4 linked regions of the Macaca fascicularis genome follow. The protein of the gene in region 2 interacts with the protein of the main gene of each other region in a pairwise test. Links are inferred from orthologs where the notes say so. Each region holds a gene or a part of one and is shown on either strand. Other genes may lie near its edges.

Region 1 (4,785 bases), on a different chromosome or scaffold from region 2:
TAATATGGTGAAACCCCGTCTCTACTAAAAATACAAAAATTAGCCGGGCGCGGTGGCAGGTGCCTGCAGTCCCAGCTACTCAGGAGGCTGAGGCAGGAAAATGGTGTGAACCCGGGAGGCGGAGCTTGCAGTGAGCCAAGATCGCACCACTGCACTCCAGCCTGGGCGACAGAGCGAGACTCCGTCTCAAAAAAAAAAAAAAAAGAAAGAAAAGAAAGAAAAGAAAGAAAAGAAAGAAAGAAAGAAAGAAAGAAAGAAAGAAAGAAAGAAAGATAGATTAGCAAAGAACATGGACAAGTCATAGAAAAGGAAATATGGAAATATACATGGCTCTTAAGTCAAGCCTGCAATCCCAGCACTTTGGGAGGCCGAGGCGGGTGGATCACGAGGTCAGGAGATCGAGACCATCCTGGCTAACACGGTGAAACCCCGTCTCTACTAAAAATACAAAAAACTAGCCAGGCGAGGTGGTGGGCGCCTGTAGTGCCAGCTACTTGGGAGGCTGAGGCAGGAGAATGGCGTAAACCCGGGAGTCTGAGCTTGCAGTGAGCTGAGATCCGGCCACTGCACTCCAGCCTGGGTGACAGAGTGAGACTCCGTCTCAAAAAAAAAAAAAAAAATGAAAAGATGTGTCTGGGTGCAGTGGCTCATGCCTGTAATCCTAGCACTTTGAGAGGCCAAGGTGGGCAGATAATCTGAGGTTGGGAGTTCGAGACCAGCCTGGCCACCATGGTGAAACCTCGTCTCTACTAAAAAAAAAAAAAAAAAATACAAAAGTTAGCCGGGCATGGTGGCACACACCTGTAATCCCAGCTACTCAGGAGGCTGAGGCAGGAGAATCGCTTGAACTGGGAGGCGGAGGTTGCAGTAAGCCAAGGTTGCGCTACTGCACTCCAGTCTGGACAACAGAGCAAGACTCCATCTCAAAAAAAAAAGAAAAAGAAAATAAAAGATGTTCAGCCTCACTCACAGGAGATGGTAAGTTAGAAATACAATCAGAGGTGGAGGGCGAGGTGCTGTCCGAGTAGCCCTGGGCAGGAGTGGGGCCCGTCAGCCTAGAGGCAGAGGAGCTGTCCCGAGTAGCCCTGGGCAGGAGTGGAGCCCGTGCAGAGGGGCTGTCCCAGAGCATGGCACAGCACTGGTGGTGTTCTTCCCATGGGGTTTGGGTTATTCACTGTGACAGCACCTTACACACCTTACACACACACGGGAGCTAAACCAGGGACAGCAGACGATGGGGCCGCATCCTCACTGCTGGAGGGGAGGTTACAATCAGCAAGTGCGGGGGGGCAAGAGGCTCCACTAGAGGTAGAGACATCAGTATGACCCAGGACACCAATGGTTACTATGTATAGACAGTGTGTAGATTACACACCCGCTGACATACACTACACGCTTCCTTGCTCTGTTGGCTGAGAAGACCAGAAACAGCCCAGTAGTGACGAGCACACCCGGCTCCCAGACCTTGGCCTTCTAAGACCACTCTCCAAGAAAAAGAACCGGGGCTTCTTGCAGAAATGGCTGATTCTAGGACTGGACAAGGAAAGAGACAAGATGAGGCTGGAGCAGTTTATAGGGCCAGAAATAAGGACGTGCTCACAAGACAAAGTGATGGGCAATGACACAGGGATGCAAGAGCCACCTGAAGTTCCCAGTGGCCAAAGCTGCGACAATGAGAGCAACAAAATAAGCCAACTAGTATTGAATAATAACTCGAAGTGTAAATAAATATCCATGAGTCCACTATAATAAATGATTGAAAAAATTAATAAGTGGGGCCAGGTGCGGTGGCTCACAACTGTAATCCCAGCACTTTGGGAGGCTGAGGCAGGCAGATCACTTGAGGTCAGGAGTTTGAGACCAGCCTGGACAACATGGTGAAACCCCCATCTCTACTAAAATACAAAAATTAGCCAGGTGTGGTGGCGTGCACCTGTAGTCCCAGGTACTCAGGAGGCTGAGACAGGAAAATCGCTTGAACCCAGGAGGCAGAGTTTGCAGTGAGCCGAGATTATGCCACTGCACTCCAGCCTGGGCAACAGAGTGAGATGTTGTCTCAAATAAAAAAAAAAAAAAATTACAAATGAGGGTGAACAGACAAATCTCCTGTGTAGAAGAATTCCAAATAACTTGTATAGATGCTCGTCTCTAAAGGAGGGCGAGCGAAACTCCCCACCCCTTCCGTGTGGGCTCAGCAAAGCGACTTCCTGCCAGAGAACACAGGGGACGGGCCACTTCACAGGGAAGCCTGACCCTCCACCTCGGCCAGGGGACCAAGGCCAGCAGCACCACCAGTGAGAGGTCACAGGGACAATGTGGACCGCAGACAGGATGGGGTGAGAAGAGCACTTTACCTCTGTGGTCTTCCTCCTAAAACCACCCCACGGTCTGATCACGAGAAAAGTATCAGGCAAGTCCAACAGGGGCCATTCTGTAAAATCCCTGACCAGCTCTCCCCAAAACTCGAAGGTCATTAAAAACAAGGAGAGTCTGAGAAACTCACAGCCCAAACGAGCCTGAGACCCACAGCCTAAAAATCATGTGGGATCGGGGTTGTGCTGAGCCGCGCTCGGGGAACGGTGTGGACCGTCTGCTGGGACTCCGGCCCTCCGTCCGCTCAGCCCCGTGGCCCCGCGCACCTACTGCCATGGATTCGCGGCCTCGTCTCGGGGCCACCTGTTTGCTGGGCTTCAGTTTCCTGCTCCTCGTCATCTCCTCTGATGGACATAATGGGCTTGGAAAGGGTTTTGGAGATCATATTCATTGGAGGACACTGGAAGATGGGAAGAAAGAAGCAGCTGCCAGTGGACTGCCCCTGATGGTGATTATTCATAAATCCTGGTGTGGAGCTTGCAAAGCTCTAAAGCCCAAATTTGCAGAATCTACAGAAATTTCAGAACTCTCCCATAATTTTGTTATGGTAAATCTTGAGGATGAAGAGGAACCCAAAGATGAAGATTTCAGCCCAGACGGGGGTTATATTCCACGAATCCTTTTTCTGGATCCCAGTGGCAAGGTGCATCCTGAAATCATCAATGAGAATGGAAACCCCAGCTACAAGTATTTCTACATCAGTGCCGAGCAAGTTGTTCAGGGGATGAAGGAAGCTCAGGAAAGGCTGACGGGTGATGCCTTCAGAAGGAAACATCTTGAAGATAAATTGTAACATGAATGTGCCCCTTCTTTCATCAGAGTTAGTGTTCTGGAAGGAATGCAGCAGGGGAGGGAATATTGAGGAATCATCTAGAACAATTAAGCCGACCAGGAAACCTCATTCCTGCCTACACTGGAAGGAGTGCTCTCACTGTGGAAGAGTTCTGCTAACACAAGCTGGTCTGCATGTTTGTGGATCCAGCAGAGAGCGGCAGACTTTCTTCTCTTTTTCCCTCTCACCTAAATGTCAATTTGTCATTGAATGTAAAAAATGAAACCTTCTGACACAAAACTTGAGCCACTTGGAGGTTTACTCCTCGCACTTAAGTATTTGAGTCTTTTCCCATTTCCTCCCACTTTACTCACCTTAGTGGTAAAAGAAGACTAGTAGCATCTTTTCTACAATGTTAAAATTGCAGAAATAGCTTATCATTAAACAACAACAACAACAACAACAACAAATTCTAAGTGTAAATCACTAATTCTACCCCCTATCAAGGGGGTAGCCTGCTTTTTCCCTTTTTCCTTCTGGGAATAATTGTGGGCTGCTTCGCAAATTTCTTTTTTTTGTTTTGTTTTGTTTTGTTTTGTTTTTTGAGACGGAGTCTCGCTCTGTCGCCCAGGCTGGAGTGCAGTGGCGCGATCTCGGCTCACTGCAAGCTCCGCCTCCTGGGTTTACGCCATTCTCTTGCCTCAGCCTCCTGAGTAGCTGGGACTACAGGCGCCCGCCACCGCGCCCGGCTAATTTTTTGTATTTTTAGTAGAGACAGGGTTTCACTGTGGTCTCGATCTCCTGACCTTGTGATCCGCCTGCCTCGGCCTCCCAAAGTGCTGGGATTACAGGCGTGAGCCACCGCGCCCGGCCTGCTTCGCAAATTTCTACAACCCCTTTCCTTTTCTCACGCTTGGGTTTCTCTGTTTGCACATATGCGTGTGCAGGACTGGCTGTGTGCTTGGACTCTGCTCCAGGTGGAAGCATGTTTTCCCTTGTTACTGTTGGAGAAACTCAAACCTTCAAGCCCTACGTGTAGCCATTTTGTCAAGTCATCAACTGTATTTTTGTACTGGCATTAACAAAAAAAGAGATAAAATATTGTTCCATTAAACTTTAATAAAACTTTAAAAGGAAAAAAAAAAAATCATGTGGGATCCTGGGACAGAAAAGGACAACGGGTAAAAACTGCAAAAATACAAGTAAAGTGTGGACTTTAGTCAGTGATTTATCAATAATGACTTGTCGGCCGGGCGCGGTGGCTCAAGCCTGTAATCCCAGCACTTTGGGAGGCCGAGATGGGTGGATCACGAGGTCGGGAGATCGAGACCATCCTGGCTAACACGGTGAAACCCCGTCTCTACTAAAAAAATACAAAAAACTAGCCAGGCGAGGTGGTGGGCACCTGTAGTCCCAGCTACTCGGGAGGCTGAGGCAGGAAAATGGTGTGAACCCGGGAGGCGGAGCTTGCAGTGAGCCAAGATCGCACCACTGCACTCCAGCCTGGGCGACAGAGCGAGACTCCGTCTCAAAAAAAAAAAAAAAAAATGACTTGTCAATTGTACACATGTCCCATCATAATGTAAGATATTCAAATAGCGGAGACTGGGTGGGGTATAGGGGAACACCCTGCACTTTCC
Region 2 (5,261 bases):
GGAACCGGGCGGTGAGTGACAGGTGAGCGAGTATTACGGCTGAGCTCTGCTTCCTGTCAGATCAGCAGAGGCATTAGATTCTCACAGAAGTGCGAACCCTATCTTGAAATGCACACGTGAGGAACCTAGGTTGTGCGCTCCTTATGACACACTAACGCCTGATGATCTGAGGTGGAACAGTTTCATCCCAAAACCAGCCCCGCAACCCACCCCTGTCCGTGGAAAAATTGTCTTCCACAAAACTGGTCCTCAGTGCCAAAAAGGTTGGGGACTGCTGTTATATAAGTCAAACACACACACACACACACACACACACACACACACACACACACACACACACACACACACACACGAAGAGGATAAAGGGAGAGGGATGGAGAGGGAGAGAAAAGGCCTTATATAGGTTGATTTACATAGAGAAGCTAGTTTTGAAAAGAGGATAATTGAAATTTTACAGTAATTACGATTTTCTTTTTAAAATTATAATTAGCTTGCCCATTCAGAAAACTAATGTTTTGATTATTGGAAGAATCACTCTCAAGGATCAAAAAGCCATATGTACCTGAAAGAACTGTCAGCACCTACCTCCAACAACACCCACACCAACGCTGCTCCTCCTTGTGTTCATGGGAGCAACATGAAACCACTCATTAGACTTTATGTTGTATGCTTCCACAGATGATAGACCTATAATAAAACACAAGTCTTCATTTCCTTCTCTAAAAAAAGTCAATAGTTCATATATATGGAAAAATACTTCAGGTATGTAACATTGGGCTAAAATTAAGAGAAGAAAATGGCAGAATGTAAACACATCAATTACATGAAAAACAGGAACAGCTTGTTTTCCAGAAGGCTCCCACCTAAGCTACTGACATTTATAAGCTTTTAAAACTTGATGACTGATACTGATGCATAAGAAAGAAAATTTATATACTCAGCACTCATATCATTTAAGGAAATTCTTGATAAAATTTTAAATTTATCTTTAAATACCAGTTAAAACCTCACATATGCCTTAATGATGCCACGGTTTATTCCATAAACATGACTACTACGTTAATTTTAGCAGCAATGTAGAAGAGATGAAAAGGAAATTACCTGTACTCCCATCAAAGCCTCCCACAGCGTATAACAATCCATTTAACACAGCAGCTCCCAAAGTGCTTCTCCGGTCTCTCATGTTAGCAACGCTGGTCCACTGGTCCTTCACAGGGTCGTAAGAATCTACAGTACGAACTCTTAATGAACCATTAAAGCCACCAACAGCAAAAACAAGTCCAGCCATGTAGACCATGCCTGCAAAAGGAGTACAGCATTTACAGATCAATGTGCAACTCGACTATCACCAATATCCAAAGATTGCTTTCTAGTAAGTCTATAGCTGTTGTCAGAACATGCTACTCTTAGGAGGAGCCTGAGTAAATAAATCCTTGAAAATGCTATTCATTTGCAAGAACATCCAATCACTAAATTGTCTGTCTAAGGTTATTATTATTATTATTATTAAGACGGAGTCTCACTCTGTCGCCCAGGCTGGAGTGCAGTGGCGTGATCTCGGCTCACTGCAAGCTCCACCTCTCCGGTTCACGCCATTCTCCTGCCTCAGCCTCCCAAGTAGCTGGGACTACAGGTGCCCGCCACCATGCCCGACTAATTTTTTGTATTTTTAGTAGAGATGGAGTTTCACTGTAGTCTCGCTCTCGTGACCTCATGATCAGCTCACCTTGGCTTCCCAAAGTGCTGGGATTACAGGCGTGAGCCACTGCGCCCAGCCTTCTTTCTAAGGTTATTAAAAGATGCAATGGCATGGGCTAAAGTACCATTTTGACTCATTCTTTTTCAAATATCAATTTACAAGCTTAAATAATGAGCCATTATTTTCCAACTATTTGAACCTGTACTCACCTCCCATAGCTTTCAATTTTGGATCTTCTAGTGGATATTCTTAGAATGAAACTCTAAACACTTATAATTTATTTGCATAACGCACTCCTAGTTTATCACGTTAGTGGGCTAAATCAGGGGTCGGCAAATTTACAGCCTACAGGCTAAATCTGGTCCACCAGACTATTTCTGTAGAACCCATAAGCTAAGCATGGTTTTTATATTTTTAAATGGCTGAAAAACAACCAAAAGAATAATATTTCATGACTTGTAAAAAGCTATATGAAATTCAAATTTCACCATCCATAAATATAGTTTTATTGGAACACTGTCCCACCTATTCACTTCCATATGGCTGGTTTTGCACTATAGCAGTAGATAAGAAGCTGTGACAGAGACCATATAACCACAAAGCCTAAAATACTTACTCTCTGGTCCTTCAAGAGAAAGTCTGCTGATCCCTGGGCTAAACAGATATTACAGAATCAGTGAATGGAGAAACTGGACTGCTAGACTCAGGTTTCAACCGTCTTTTCACTTTTCTCAACTTTTTCATGCTGCTGCCCTAATCGGACAGGCTCCTATCACCATCCACTCTGTTCTCTTTAACTCTGAATCCTCAGTTAAAGTTCCACATTCTCTGTGATGCCTTCCCGGTCTACTTTAGCCTAAAAGGGATTAGTCCAGCTCCTGAACCCCTATAGAAAATAACATCTATATAGTGCACTTAAGGTTTAATAAATGTACAGAGTCTATAATACAATTACTTTAAATTGTTCAAATTTTTATTGTTCTTAGTTCTATGTTTATGTCCCTGTGCCAGCCTGAGGGCAGGCAATGTGGCTCACAGTTCTCTGAATCCCTGTAGGGAGAAGTGGAATCACCAGATATGTTTGACGAGCTCAATGTTTTAAAGATGTCATCAGGCAAGAGATGCACCTCTATCCCTTATTGTCTTACCCTCTGGTGCTTTATTCCCCCACCCCCTTAAAAATACATGGAAATGCAGTCCTCCATATGGCAACAAGACCTTTCCAGTTCAAATGAAGTTGCCTGTTTTGGCCCCCTGCTAGCACAGAATTTAATAGACCTCCTAAGAGGGCCTGGAGACTAGTGAGCAGCAACATAGCAGGCAGCATGTTTCAGCATAAAACAATCCTGTATCCCAAAATCATAACTCCAGGGAATGTTCCTTGTGGGAATTTTGCCCATTGCAATTTTCATTTTCCTTTCTCTACACACAAAATAACACAACAAATATGCCATCTCTTAGAAGTAATGTAGTATGCTTACCAAGTTTTAGGGAATTTTAGGTCACAGAGAAGAAGAAAATAAATGAATCAATCTATGAAGTGCCCCCCACCAAAAGCTCTGGGTCTGGAGAAGGGACTGAACTAAAAGAAGTATGATAAGGAAACTGAAGTGCCCAGAAGTTTAATTACACAGTTTATTAAAATTTGGCCAAGTTTGCACAGTTAAGGACATTGGTTCTAATCTGAAGGAGGGAGAGGGAAGAGGGCATGATGAAGATAAAATGTATTCATAGTTATCCAATAAGTAAATAATACATTTTGCAATAAATTGAGTCAAATGACATATGGCCCCAAAGTAAAGGGAACTATAATAGGAATCAGATATGAATTAAGAAATCAGTTAGTAAATGGCATACAAAACTCCATTTCCAGTAGATAAAATACCTAAAAATAAACTTGCCAAGAAACACGGAGGACCATTGGAAGAAAGTGTTAAAAATCTACTGAAGGATATAAAAGAAGACAGGAGTCTTATCACTAGTTTCACAACATAGTAAAACATATTATAAAGCACAGTAACTAAAAGTGGCTATGTCTTGATGCATGAATAGGCAAGACAAATCAATGGAAGAGAACAGGAAATTTAGAATACAACCAAGTAAATGTGGAAATCTAATACATGATAAAGGCAGCATTTCATCAAATGAATGGAGACGGATAAGTCAATAAGGGGTATTTGGACAACTGACTAGCCATTAAAAGCCAAAATCTATACCTTACATCTTAGACTAAAATACAGCCCAGATATCTTAAGAGAGAGAGATGTATTTATAAATAAAACTGTAAAGGTACTAGAACAACAAATGTTTTCAAAATATACTTTTGTCATAGGGTAGAAACCTGGCAGATACCACCTTAACCAAGAGAACAAGGTTACCGTCACAAGAAATAATCATACTAAGTCAATTTAACCGTGGGAAAATATCAGACAAATCCAGCTTGAGAGATATTCTTCAAAATATCTGACCAGTCCTCTTCAAAGAATTAAGGGCATAAAAGATAAGAAAAGACTCTGGGACTATCTCAGATAAGAAGATATGACAACTAAACGCAAAGTAGGATCCTGGAACAGCATAAGGGAATCAATGGAAAAAATGGTAAATACGAACGAAGTCTGTATTTCAGTTACTATTAATATGCCAATGCTAATTTCTAGTTTTGATAACTGTATCACAGTAAGATGTTAACACTAGGGAAAGAATATACCAGAATTATTTGTTCTATCTTTGCAACTCTTCTGTAAGTAAAATTATTGCAACAGAAAGTTTTTTGTTTTTTTTTTTTGAGACGGAGTTGCCTAGGCTGGAGTGCAGTGGTGAGGTCTCAGCTCACTGCAACCTTCGCCTCCCGGATTCAAGCGATTCTCCTGCTTCAGCCTCCTGAGTAGCTGGTATTACAGGCGCCTGCCACCATACCCGGCTATTTTTTGTATTTTTAGTAGAGAAGGGGTTTCACCATGTCAGCCAGGCTGGTCTCGAGCTCCTGACTGTGATCCGCCCACCTTGGCCTCCCAAAGCACTGGGATTACAGGCATGATCCATTGCGCCTGGCCCAACATAAAGTTTTTTAAAAATATGTTTGTGTGTGTATACACACACTCACACACACATATAGATAATTTTGGCATATGGCTTTCTATGCAAGAAACAGATTTTTAAGTCCAGAGACACAAAACTTTGGTACAGGACTACATTAAAAGATAAGGCAAAAATAGCACAAAGTCAAAAGATAAACGATTAATACAAATAAATATTCACACTAGACATCACAGACACAAAGGCTACTTTCCTTAACATGTAACTGTACCTGTGACATCAATAAAACTATTAAAATGGCAAAAACCATGAACTGACAATTCAGAAAGAAAGCTATTTAACTTTCCTCTTAAGTACAAATTACGTAAGTACAAATTAAGGCATTTTTCACCCACCAGATTGGCAAAGCTCAAAACATTTAATTACAAAGTACTGTCAGGAGTTTAGGGAAACTGGCACCTTCATATTTTACTGTTAGTGGGAGTAATAATTGGTATATCCTCTTAAGACATCTTTTGAATCAGTA
Region 3 (5,906 bases), on a different chromosome or scaffold from region 2:
TTAAAAGCCTAAGGGAAGCCATAATTCACAGTGATTCTTTTAGATGCAGCTAAATTTTGGTTAAGCAACACCAATATATGAAAATCTGGGTTCACAAAATAAATACATTAGAGTTACTATACTTACTATATGCTTTACAATTAAGTTGAAATATACCTTAATGTAGTGGGTTTCTAAATGCTGGCCCATGAGGTCTCCTTAGGTTCACAGTGAAATAAGAAAAATTAGTGTGACATATTGTTCATCATGAGGCTGTTCAATTCAAGGAACTGTCCTTTATTCAAAAATGAATCTTCCCCCATTTCTGAGGTTAAAATACTTTTTAATAAATGATGGGCATAATCTATGCTAGTTGTTCCTTTTTAATACTCTTGCCAATATAAAGTTGCCAAACCTATATTGACTCCCTTGCTTATCAGAAAATATTTTATTAGTCTGAGAGATCCAAATGTCGGCGACTGGCTTAGTTTCCAAATATGACTCATTTTATAAAAGCATACAAGTGCTTTTGTTGTTGTTGTTTTTTAGAAACCTATCTATTGAATAAAGGAAGTAGTATAACCTTGGCTTTAATGCCCATGTTAATGACAGCCAACAGGTGGTAAGTTGCTGCTCCATGCCTAGCTCTCAGGGCTTTTCAAAACATATTCATCCATTTAAATTTCACAGTAGCCCAAGGAGGAAGTATTGTTATTGTCTCCGTTTCACAGATGAGGAATTCTAGGGATTGTCAACTCCATGCCCCAAAGGATGCACAACACAGCTAGCAAAGTGGCAGAATTGAGATTCAAACAATGGCTCCAAGAACATATATTCTTTTTTAAAATGTATTTTTTTGGTTTCTTTTTTTGATTCCTCAGAGATCCCTACTCTGAACATATATTCTTACATTACTAAGAAACTGGGTCATATGAGAGTACAACCAAGAGAAAAACATTGTTATTATATTATAATGTTATGGAAATGGAGGTTCAATTAGCATAGAGATTATAAACTCCTCTTCAAGACTGACATTATCTTACACTGAAGTCAGAGCCTCTCCCAATGTTAGTTTATCAACTCAATTCTTGATAACCTATTTTTAGCTTCAGTATTTGCAGATACTGTCTTAAGCAACATTGTTGCTTAAGCTCCTGCTTTAATTAGCCAATTCCAAAAATCTCCCACAAAAAAAACCCCAAGAAAATACGGTATTTGCAATGGAGTGTTTCAACCAAGAAGGGGCTTTAAGCGCAACACTCAAAAGCTTAGACATCAGGATTAAGTTAATTTAGGGCAAATTCAACCTTATAGTCAACAAATAAGTGTATTTCACTTTATATTAAGTTTGTTATGTAAAAGTATTAAAATACCAGCTTCTAAATGTAGCTATCCATCCCCCAAACAGATGCTTCTTTAAAATAGGAAGAACACAAACTTTAGTTGGAACTCACATATTCCCTTGCAGAGTCAGAAACCCAAACATAACAGCAATTGGGCAAGTAGGTAAATGAGGAAGTACAATTCATAATAAATGGACAGCAAAACCGATGAGTCAAATTAGACATTTTGACTATAAAGCGACCAAACGCCTCTCCCCAAAAACCAAAAGCCAAAACCTTTTCAAATATACAGCAACTGAATCAGACGGTAATTTTGGCTTTAAAAATCTACAATACTCTTGGTAATGCTAGAAATGATTTATCTGGTAGGTTAAAGTTAGGTATCTATCATTCCACTTAACATCATTTACCAAATGCTGCATTTCATTAATGGAGCTGTCAGTTTATTCTGATGGTAATGAAAAACAGGTTTTAACATTAATAAGCCCTGGGTCCACCAGAAAATAACAGTGAATCAAGAGGTCCTGAGGTTTATGCAGTTTAAGGTAACTCTGTAGATTAAATTTCCACCCTCCAGTCCTGAGAGCTGTGGTGTACACCCTCAGTCCGAATACCTTGTTGAGCATACAGGACAGTCATTTCCGACACTGCAGGTATCTCCTGCACAGACTCTTCATTCAAGTTGCTGGCTTCTGCTCAAGTACCCATCCCTAGCCCACATGCCCTAGAAAAACACAGGAACCAGTTCGGGACGTAGTTATGCATCCAGCACCCCACGCTACTCCCCAAGACTATCCTCCTGCCATCCCAGCTCAGTGGGGCCCAGCCCACTACAATCCAGCTCCCGCTCTCCGAACTTCCCCCGCCCACTCTCCCCACGTGACCAGGACCCTCCCAACCGCCGCCTCGAGTTCCACCAATCAGCAACCACCTCCGCCCAGAATCCGGGACCTGGCGCTCCTCTTTCAAAAAGGCAGCTTAATCCTCCCGCCCTCAGCCACGCCCCCTTTCCGCTTCCCCGCCCCGCCGGTCCCTCCCACTTCCCTCAATTCCCTGTTCCCCTCCTCCCCTCCGGTGGCGCCCTCCCGCTCCCGGGCTTCGCCCCGCCCCACCAGGGCAGCGCGCTCGCTCTCTTCTCGCGAGATCTGAGCGTCCCCGCCGCGGCCGCCGGGCTCCCCCTCCCGTCCTCCCACCTCCCTCCCCCGGCATCTCTCACTCTCCGGCTCTCCTCCCTCCCTCCTCCCCCCTCCACCCTCTGGGCCGGATCTCGTCTCGCTCAGGCGGAGGAGGAGAAGGAGGAGGAGGAGGACGACGTTCGGCCTGCGCAGTGAGATGTTTGTCCGTCGCCGCCGCCGCCGCCATCGCGGAGGAGCGCGATAAAGGGAGCAGAGCCGGGCGTGAGGGGGACCCTGCGGAGCCACCGCGCCAGCGCAGCCCCCCAGCCGCGTCGGAGCAGCCGGAGCCCGAGCCGCCGCCCCCGCCGCCGCCGCGGCTGCCCAGGGGCCGGCCAGCTCCCCAGCCCTGCCCGGGGGCCGCGCCGCCCCCAGCGTCGCCCCTCGCCTGCCTGCCCGCCTTAAATGTGACACCGGCGTCGCGGAGCGCGACCTGAAGCCGCCGCCGGGGAGGGGACGAGCACCATGTCGAATCTGAGCAAAGGCACGGGCAGCCGGAAGGACACCAAGATGCGGATCCGGGCCTTTCCGGTGAGTCTCTCCTCGGCGTCCGGGACCCCGGGGCCGGGGGCCGGGCCGAGAGCCGCACGCGAGGCCCGGGCTGAAGTCCCCCAACAGGCCGCAGGCCCGGCCTCCCCTCCCCCACGCTCGCCGGCCGCGGGGCGCGAGCCTTCCCGGCAACCGGGCGGCGCGGGGCCCCGGCGCGGCCGCCCTCCCGGGCCGTTCCCCGCGCCGGGAGTCCGGGCCTGGCGCCGCGCCCCCGTCCGGGAGTTGCTTCTTGAGCCGCTCCACGGGCGTCGGCTGCGGCCGGGGCCCCTCGGCCGCCCCACGCCTCCCCACGTTGCTGGGGTTGTAGGCCCAGGCTCCGGCGCTGTTAGCAGCGGCGAAGTCCTCCCTGTGTGGGGCGTGTGTGGAACTTTTCACGTGGGGTTTCGTTACACTTTCAAAAATTACCCAGTCTAGCTTGTAGGGTGATGAAGGGGCTGCCCTCTCACTCTGCCCCCCTCCCCAGGCGGGGCTGTGCCATCAACCTGCCCCCGAAGCAGTGACAGTGGTTCCACGGAATGCTCAGTGGTCATAAACTAGTAACATTGGGTGTATTTCTAGCGTCTTTCATCCTACAAGCCTCCTAAACACTTTACAAACTGTTGTGCAGGATTGCCTCGCCACTCGGAGGAAGGCCGGGTGGGAGGAAGCAACAGAGATCAAACCGGACAATTGGTTCTCCATTTCTCAGCCTTGGGAGCCCAAAGAATGAGTGTAGTCGCCTTGCAGAGTTGCTTTCTTTCATCACTTTCAGTGACAGCAAACGTGTTGTGTTCAGAAACCTTTTCTTTTTTGGCATTACGTTGTGTCGTAGCCTTGTGGTGTTTAGCATATAGGGTATAACTTTGGGTGTCATATCTGGTTCGTCCACACTATGGCAAGCAATTAAAATGTATTGTTGTTAACAAACTGGACATACTTGCCTATGTCGCTACAATAAAAGGCGTACGTCAAGACAGACGAACTAGCAATCGGACAGAAGATTTTAAAAAACAAAATTAGAGAAAGATCTTGGTCTTCCCTTCTTAGATTCATAAATACTTCGTATGATGTGCAGGCGAAAGAGGGAAGTTTGTTGTCACTTTTTAAAGAGAGCTTTTCCTGAAGTGCAGTTGCCTGAGAAAATACTTATATTAATATGATTGCCCCAGTTGAGTCAAGTAATTTAGTCTCAGAGAACATGAGGACCTCTCTGAATTCCTAAAATTTAAAAGGATACAGCTCATGCAGAATTCTGAAATTGCAAGAACATAAATACTAAAATCAGTGTGCGAAAACCTCTGCTTTGTGTAAATAGGTACGGTGTATTTAGGAGAATTAAGTGTTTTGATAATAATTAAAGATTTTTGGAATGTTTCGAACTTTTTTCTAAGTAAACATGAGAAATGTTGACAATAGAGTACTAACGAAGCTTACTAGTATGTTTTCCCTTATGATTGGGCACAGAGCTGGGTTATGAATTTGTGATTAATATTAATTTTCCTACTAAATTCTGATCACTTTAGAGTTTAGAACTACTTAGAATTTTATGAAGTTAATAGTTTTATACGACAGGTTTTCTTTTTCTTTTCTTTTTTTTTTTTTTTTTTTGAGACAGTTTCGCTCTTGTTGCCCAGGCTGGAGTGCAATGGCGCGATCTCAGCTCCCAGCAACCTCCGCCTCCTGGGTTAAAGCGGTTCTCCTGCCTCAGCCTCTGAGTAGCTGGGATTACAGGCAGGCGCCACTATACCCGGCTAATTTCGTATTTTTAGTAGAGACGAGGGTTCTCCCTATTGGTCAGGCTGGTCTCGAACTCCCGACCTCAGATGATCCACCCACCTCGGCCTCCCAAAGTGCTGGGATTACAGGCGTGAGCCACCGCGCCCGGCCTATACAACAGATTTTCTAGGAGTGTTTGCGGCCTTACACTACTCAATTCTTGAAGTCTTACGTTCTGAATAAGATTTTTTGCTAAAATGTGGAGGAACTCAAATTTGACATCAACTCACTCAAGTGAATGGCGTTCTGATTGACCAGCTGTACGTTCATCTATGTGTAATCAAACTCTGACCACTTCAGGTTTCCCTGCTCTTGCCTGTTTTGCCATCATTTAATTTGTTCAGTAAATATTGAATGTTATGTGCCAGGCACTGTTCTGGGTGTCTGTCAGGATAGCTAGAAAGACCGAGATCCCTGCCTTCTGGAGCTAATATTGTTGGGGAGAAGAGGTGGGAGAGAATTTCATTATTCCTTTAGCTGACTAGTATAATAACGTTGTGTGATACGTTACCACATAATACTGGAACTTAATTTTTTTTTTAGCTTCGTTATGATTATGAGCTAATTTGGACCCATTCTGTCTATGACTTTGCAGGTTTTTCTGAAAACCTTACAGAAGTAAGTGACTAGTTTTGATATTCAGTAGTTAATAGCTGCTGATTTCTAAAAGAATTTTTCATTACTGTTTAATAAGTATTAATAACATTCATAAGTAGTTCCCATTGAAAAGAACTATTATAGTTTATGACCCTTTGTTACAAATATATATATATCTCAGTGGTAGGGTATTTCATAGTTTTATCTTGTTAACCGTGTGCTTATGGACCTTCAGAATTCCTGTCTTCCAGATTAGCAGTCTTGTGCATAACTACAGACTGCATGAGTTGCTGGTCAAAAGTAGTTAATGCATAGTATGCCATAAGGAAAAAATATGGCTGGGTGCAGTGGCTCACGCCTGTGATCCCAGCACTTTGGGAGGCGGAGGCAGGTGGATCACCTGAGGTCAGGAGCTTGAGACCAGCCTGGCTGACATGATGAAATCCCATCTCTACTTAAAATACAAAAAAATCACGGGGTGTGGTGGTGGATGCCTAGTAATCCCAGCTAC
Region 4 (5,835 bases), on a different chromosome or scaffold from region 2:
CTCTCTGCAGCTCCTGGCTCTGCCTCTTTTCCTCTTGTTATGGGTTTCCCTGGTCCCTCTGTCCCTCTGTCCCTCTCCACCTTCTGCCCCCATTCCCTATCAGTTCTTGATTTTTCCTGTCTCCTTTTCTCCATCTCATTCCAGTTCCATCCCTCTTCCTCCCCATCTCTCCCTCTCTGCTTGTCTCTCAAGCAGAGAGAGACAAGTCACCTGGCTGGAGTGCAGTGGCTTGATCTCGGTTCACTGCAACCTCCGCCTCCCAGGTTCAAACGATTCTCCTGCCTCAGCCTCCCGAGTAGCTGGGACTACAGGCACGCACCACCACGCCCGGCTAATTTTTGTATTTTTAGTAGAGACAGGGTTTCACCATGTTAGTCAGGACGGTCTTGATCTCTTGACCTTGTGATCCACCCACCAAGGCCTCCCAAAGTGCTGGGATTACAAGTGTGAGCCACTGCGCCTAGCCTTCTCTCCTCGTTAGTCCTCCCTGACCCCTCGAGTCTCCTGCTTTCTTTTTTTCTTTTTCTTTTTGAGATGGAGTTTCGCTCTTTTTCCCCAGGGTGGAGTGCAGTGGCACGATCTTGGCTCACTGCAACCTCCGCTTCCCAAGTTCAAGCGATTCTCCTACCTCAGCCTCCTGGGTAGCTGGGACTACCGTATTTTTTATTGTATTTTTGTAGAGACGGGGTTTCGCCATGTTGGCCAAGCTGGTCTCGAACTCCTGACCTCAGGTGATCCACCCGCCTGGGCCTCCTAAAGTGCTGGGATTACGGGCATGAGCCACCGCACCCAGCCTCTCCTGCTTTCTTGGTGTCTGTCTCTGTTCTCTCTCTCAAGAGCCCACAGTCCAGAGCAGGTCAACGTCATTCTAGACTCAGCTGTGCCCAGACATGGGGCACCTTGCAAATCCCTTCTCCTCAGTGGGACTCAGTGACCCCATCTGTAACAAGGGGTGTGGCTTGGTGGATCTCTACAGACCTTAGGCACTGATGAGAGAATGAACATTTGCTGCCCTGCTGTGCCCTGACTCCAGGCCCCCCAGCCCCAAGCACTCACAAGGAACCATTCCAGCACATAATGGTCATGGGCTCCCGTAGGGGTGCAGTTCAGAATGACAGACTTTCCTCGCATCACCTCCACCAGCGGTGGCACAGACAAGCGCACCTCCGCCTGGGCATCTGCAAGAGGGCATCTGAGCTATTGTCCACCACACCAACAGGAAGAGCCCTCCAGACAGGGTCCTGTCTCCCCCAGGACCCAAGCGTTCAGGTCCCAGCCCCTCCTCCCTCAGACCCAGGAGTCCAGGTTCCAGCTCCTCCTTCCTCAGATCCAGGAGTCTGGGCCCCTGTCTCCTCCTCCCTCAGACCCAGGAGTCCAGGTTCCAGCTCCTTCCTCAGATCCAGGAGTCTGGGCCCCTGTCCCCTCCTCCCTCAGACCCAGGAGTCCAGTCCCCCAGCTCCTCCTCCCTCAGATCCAGGAGTCCAGGCCCCCAGCCCCTCCTCCCTCAGACCCAGGAGTCCAGGCCCCCAGCCCCTCCTCCCTGAGATCCTTTCGCCCTCCATCCCTTCTCCCTGCATCTCTGGGTCTCAAATCCAACCCTCCCTGCACTTGCAGAGCTCAGGGCTCCTCCTCTGGGCTGCACAGGGCCCTGGGGTAATATTGCACCGGCCCTTGCTTCTCCCAACAGAGCACATGCCACCCCCCAGGGCAGGGCCAGGCCTGGCTCAGTCATTTGCCTCCAGCACCCTGGGCAGGGCCACCTCCATGATGATGGATAAATGTCTCTCTCCATCCCTGTCTCCACCTCTGCGTGTGTCTCTCCTCTTGGGTCTTCATCTCTGTCCCTGTCTCTGCCTCTCTCTCTGCACCTGCACCGTTCAGTCCCTGGGTCTCTTCCTCTTTCCCATGAGTGAGGGGCTGGGGTGTGGGCTGCGGCTGGGCCCGGAGCTTAGGCGGGATAGGTGTGTGGGGGTGGTGAGGGGGGACAGGGCTGGGCAGGTTTCAGGAATGTGGGAGGGACAGGCTGGCTGAGACCTGCCCGGCCTGGAGCCAGAGCCCCCAACCGCCTCTTGGCCCCCCTCTCCGTTTGATACAACAGCAAACGGGATATAAGGTGAGTCATCGTGCAACAGGATAAGGTTGAGGCCCAGGATCTTGGGAAGCTGAGTGCCTGGACTCCTGGGATCAGAGGGAAGAGGAGGCTGGGGCCTGGGTGGAGTAGTTCTTGTAGAAAAACCACCACCCTCCCTCACCCTCTGGTCTGGCATCCTGGCATCAGCTCTCAGTGCTTCTTAGATACTCCCTTCCCTTCTCCGCTCAATCTGGCCCAGCCCCGCCCCTGGGGACCCACTACTGACCATGAGTGTGCCAGGGGCCTGGATTCCCAGGCACTCACCTCTGGCCCCAGCTTGTCCCCAGGGAGGGGTGATGGGGGCCAGGCTGGTGCCTAAGGCTGGGTCTGAGCTGCAGACAGCAAGTGGAGGCAGAGAGGTCCTCTCTCATCCCCAATCTCTCTCACATCTCTCTGTCCCTCTGTCCCCAGCCCCCCACCCAGGGCCTCCTCTCCTTCTATCGCCATGCCCATGCAGGTGTGTAAATGTAGCTGAGGCCCCAGGAAGGGGGCCTGTCACTTGGAAACACTTTGTTCCACTGTCACTGCCCAGGGCTGGTGCTCCAGCCCTTTCCTGAGGGAGGCGGGTTCTTTATACTGGACTCTGGAAACTCCTAAATATGTACGGATCGCTGGTGTGGGGAAACATGGTCCTCGCTTCTCTAAGGGGTCCCTGGACCTCTTAAAACTTGAGAACCTTTGAGGGAGGAAGCCCTGGGGTTTTGATCCTCTGTGCCCTGGGGGAAGCCATTCTAGCCACTGGAGGCCTGGACTCCTGGCTCTGAGGAAAGAGGGCTGGGGGCCCAAATTCCAGGGTCTGAGGAAGGAGGCAGGTGGGACGCAGATTCCAGGGTGCTGAGTGGAAAGGGGGCTGACTTCTCTAGTTGTCTCTGATCCACCGCCTGGGTATCCCCAGCTCTCTTGCCTGGCTGTCCCCAGATCTCTCACTGGAAGGTGTACCTTCCAACACTCCCATATTCCTCCTTCTTGGGGTCCCCACATTTTGCTTCCTGGGGTCAGGGTAAAGCCCTTTCTCTTTGCTTTCCCGGGGTCCCCAGGGGCCTCCCCCGAGTCCCACCTTGCCCTCAGCCCGAGCCATACCTGGGTGCGCAGCCAGCAGGACTGCGAGCAACAGCAGCCGCGGGGCCCCGCGCGTCCGGGCCGGTGCGTCCGGGGGCTCCATGTTCACGGCGGCGGCGGCGACTGAGCCCCGGCTGCAGCTCGGCCGCAGCGGGGCTGGGAGCTAGAGGCCCCGCCCCCGGCAGCCCCGCCCCGCCCCGCCCTCCAGGCCCCCCTCGTCCCCACCAAGTCCGGGCGCGGGGCCAGGACCTCCCACTGCCCGGAGGGGACCTCCCAGTGCACGGGGCCAGGCTCGGGGCTCCTCCGCCCCCAAGCCCAGGACTGTCCAGGCTTACTGACCAGCGCCCGCAGCGGGGAGGCCTGATGGACCAGTGTAGCCGGTGACCCGAGCTGGGATCTCACCAGGCAATCGCGGACCCTCTCCCCGTTATTCTGACCAGGGGCCCTGGGGACTCGTCCCCACTGTGACCAGCAGCCTAGGCTGGCATTGTCGATTTTAACCAGCCGACGCCACTGCAACCGGTGGCCTGCGATGGCCTCTCCCAGTGTAACTAATGGCCCCAAGTGTGCCGTCTGAGTGGCCTGCACTGGCCTCTCCCAGTCCAACCAGTGACCCCCGCAGCCTGACCAGTGGCCCCCAGCAGCTGTTCCCAGTATGCCCGGAGACGTTTTCCCCTGTGGTCAGTGCTCTGGTTCCTCGTCTAACCAGTAGCCTGGAATCAACCAGTTTAATCTTTTATCTTCAATGGTCTTCAAATCCAGTTCCTCCTAGACCGCTTTGATAATGGGGCTGGGGGTGGGGTATGGGGTGCCCTCTCGCTTGCTTACCCGTGGAAGGCCCTCCCACTCTTCCCCCTGTCCAGGGAATCCCAGGAATGCCACCCTCCCTTCCTCCTTCCCGCTCTCTCCTTCATTCCCTCCCAACCTTGTGGGGAGGGGAGGAGTCAGGCTGGCCGGAGCAGGTGAGGAGGCCAGGGGAAGAAGCCAGGGCACCTGCGGGAAGGGGGAGGAGTCCAGCCACTGCTAGGAAGGGTGGGTCCCAGGTCCGACCGCCCAAGGCCCCTACAGGCCAGGTCAGACTGGGACAAAACCCCCCACTAGATGTCACTAGTTGCCCGGGACAGTGGTCAGAACGTGGGAGGGTGGGGGGTCACTGGCCACACTGGGAGAGGTTCCCCAGGCTTCTCATCAGCCTGGGGGTTGGGGTAGCCCTGGATCTGGGCTTTGCCTGCTCCAATACACAGAGAAGGCTTGGATTACAGGTCAGCCTGGGAGTTATTAGATTGGTCAAGGTTACTTTATGTATTGGTCACACAGGAGAGCAACGTGGTTTTTTTTTGTTTTGTTTTTTTGTTTTTTTTTTTAAGAGGGTCTCGCTCTGTCACCCAGGCTGGAGTGCAGTGGCGCAATCATAGCTCACTGATACCTCGACCGCCTTGGCTCAAGTGATCCTTCCACTTCAGCCTCCCAAGTAGCTGGGACTACAGGCTTGTGCTACGATGTCCAGCTAATTTTTGTATTTTTTTTTTTTTTTTTTTTTGTAATAGAAACAGGGTATTACTATGTTGCCAAGGCTGGTCTCCAACTCTTGGGCTCAAGTGATCCTCCCGCCTTCTAAAGTGCTGGGATTACAGGCATGAGCCACTGCGTCCATCCTAGGGAGCAACTGTTACATCGGAAAAGATTACCTTTAGGATTACCTGTACCATCCCCTCCTCCAGGAAGTCCCCTCTGCCTTCCCTGGCTGGGTCAGATTCCCCCTCTGGGCTCCCCAGCCTCAGCCCTGCATGCTCTGAGGGTCCCTGGCTGGGGACTGTGAGCCTGTGAGTGCAGGGCAGGACCAGGGATGTCTTGATCACTGTGGTGAGCTAAGGGCCCCTGCCCTGGGTACCCCACCCAGCACAAGACCAGACACAGTGCAGGTGCTCAGGGAAGGTTTGCAAGGCACACAAGCTCACGTGCAGATTCCACCCACACCGGAGCATCCCAGGATGCACAATACAAACTCACTCATGGGGAATGTGGCAGCACTCCAAGACAGTCCCGGCTGCTGTCAAGCTCACACACTGTGAGCACCGACACACACTCCTTAGCTCTTCTGTCCCTGGCCTGTGCACCTTCTGTTTGGGTAGGACCCTGGTACATGCCCTCTCAGCAGCCATCCACCTCTTCCACCTCCCTCAAGAACCCAGACAGCTGAGGTTGGGCACAGTGGCTCACGCCTGTAATCCCAGTACTTTGGGAGGCCGAGGTGGGTGGATCACCTGAGGTCAGGAGTTCGAGACCAGCCTGACCAACGTGGTGAAACTGCATCTCTACTAAAAATACAAAATTAGCCAGGCATGGTGGCGTGCGCCTGTAATCTCAGCTACTCGGGAGGTTGAGGCAGGAGAATGACTCGAATCCGGGAGGTGGAGGTTGCAGTGAGCTGATCTCTTACCACTGCACTCCAGCCTGGGCAACAAGAGTGAAATTCTGTCTCAAAAAAAAAAAAAAAAGAAAGAAAAAACCTAACCATCTGAGGTTCTAGGTGAGGGAGGAGAACTCTATGGCACGTGTATGAAGGAGAAAAGTCAGAAACACCAAAACAGCAGCCATGGCCCCTTGGAGACTTGCAGAAACTAGTCTTGTACCATCATCTGCCT

The links.
Region 1: the proteins of KLHL2 (region 2) and TXNDC12 interact in binary tests that used the Homo sapiens proteins (3 or more experiments, as listed by UniProt). The two-hybrid records come from large-scale screens. The link is inferred for Macaca fascicularis from reciprocal best matches to the Homo sapiens genes KLHL2 and TXNDC12.
Region 3: the proteins of KLHL2 (region 2) and CUL3 interact in binary tests that used the Homo sapiens proteins (3 or more experiments, as listed by UniProt). The two-hybrid records come from large-scale screens. The link is inferred for Macaca fascicularis from reciprocal best matches to the Homo sapiens genes KLHL2 and CUL3.
Region 4: the proteins of KLHL2 (region 2) and BCAM interact in binary tests that used the Homo sapiens proteins (3 or more experiments, as listed by UniProt). The two-hybrid records come from large-scale screens. The link is inferred for Macaca fascicularis from reciprocal best matches to the Homo sapiens genes KLHL2 and BCAM.

The regions. Positions count from the first base shown.
Region 1 is NC_088390.1:87,630,494-87,635,278, forward strand, and holds TXNDC12 (thioredoxin domain-containing protein 12), read left to right. Parts: upstream 1-2,549; 5' UTR 2,550-2,647; coding exon 2,648-3,166; 3' UTR 3,167-3,770; downstream 3,771-4,785. UniProt on the Homo sapiens protein: Protein-disulfide reductase of the endoplasmic reticulum that promotes disulfide bond formation in client proteins through its thiol-disulfide oxidase activity.
Region 2 is NC_088379.1:170,206,336-170,211,596, reverse strand, and holds part of KLHL2 (kelch-like protein 2), read right to left. Parts: intron 1,300-5,261; coding exon 1,102-1,299; intron 688-1,101; coding exon 586-687; intron 1-585. UniProt on the Homo sapiens protein: Substrate-specific adapter of a BCR (BTB-CUL3-RBX1) E3 ubiquitin ligase complex that mediates the ubiquitination of target proteins, such as NPTXR, WNK1, WNK3 and WNK4, leading most often to their proteasomal degradation.
Region 3 is NC_088386.1:120,533,209-120,539,114, reverse strand, and holds the start of CUL3 (cullin-3), read left to right. Parts: upstream 1-2,591; 5' UTR 2,592-2,959; coding exon 2,960-3,025; intron 3,026-5,906. UniProt on the Homo sapiens protein: Core component of multiple cullin-RING-based BCR (BTB-CUL3-RBX1) E3 ubiquitin-protein ligase complexes which mediate the ubiquitination and subsequent proteasomal degradation of target proteins.
Region 4 is NC_088393.1:52,839,979-52,845,813, reverse strand, and holds the start of BCAM (basal cell adhesion molecule), read right to left. Parts: upstream 3,316-5,835; 5' UTR 3,294-3,315; coding exon 3,212-3,293; intron 1,179-3,211; coding exon 1,057-1,178; intron 1-1,056. UniProt on the Homo sapiens protein: Transmembrane glycoprotein that functions as both a receptor and an adhesion molecule playing a crucial role in cell adhesion, motility, migration and invasion.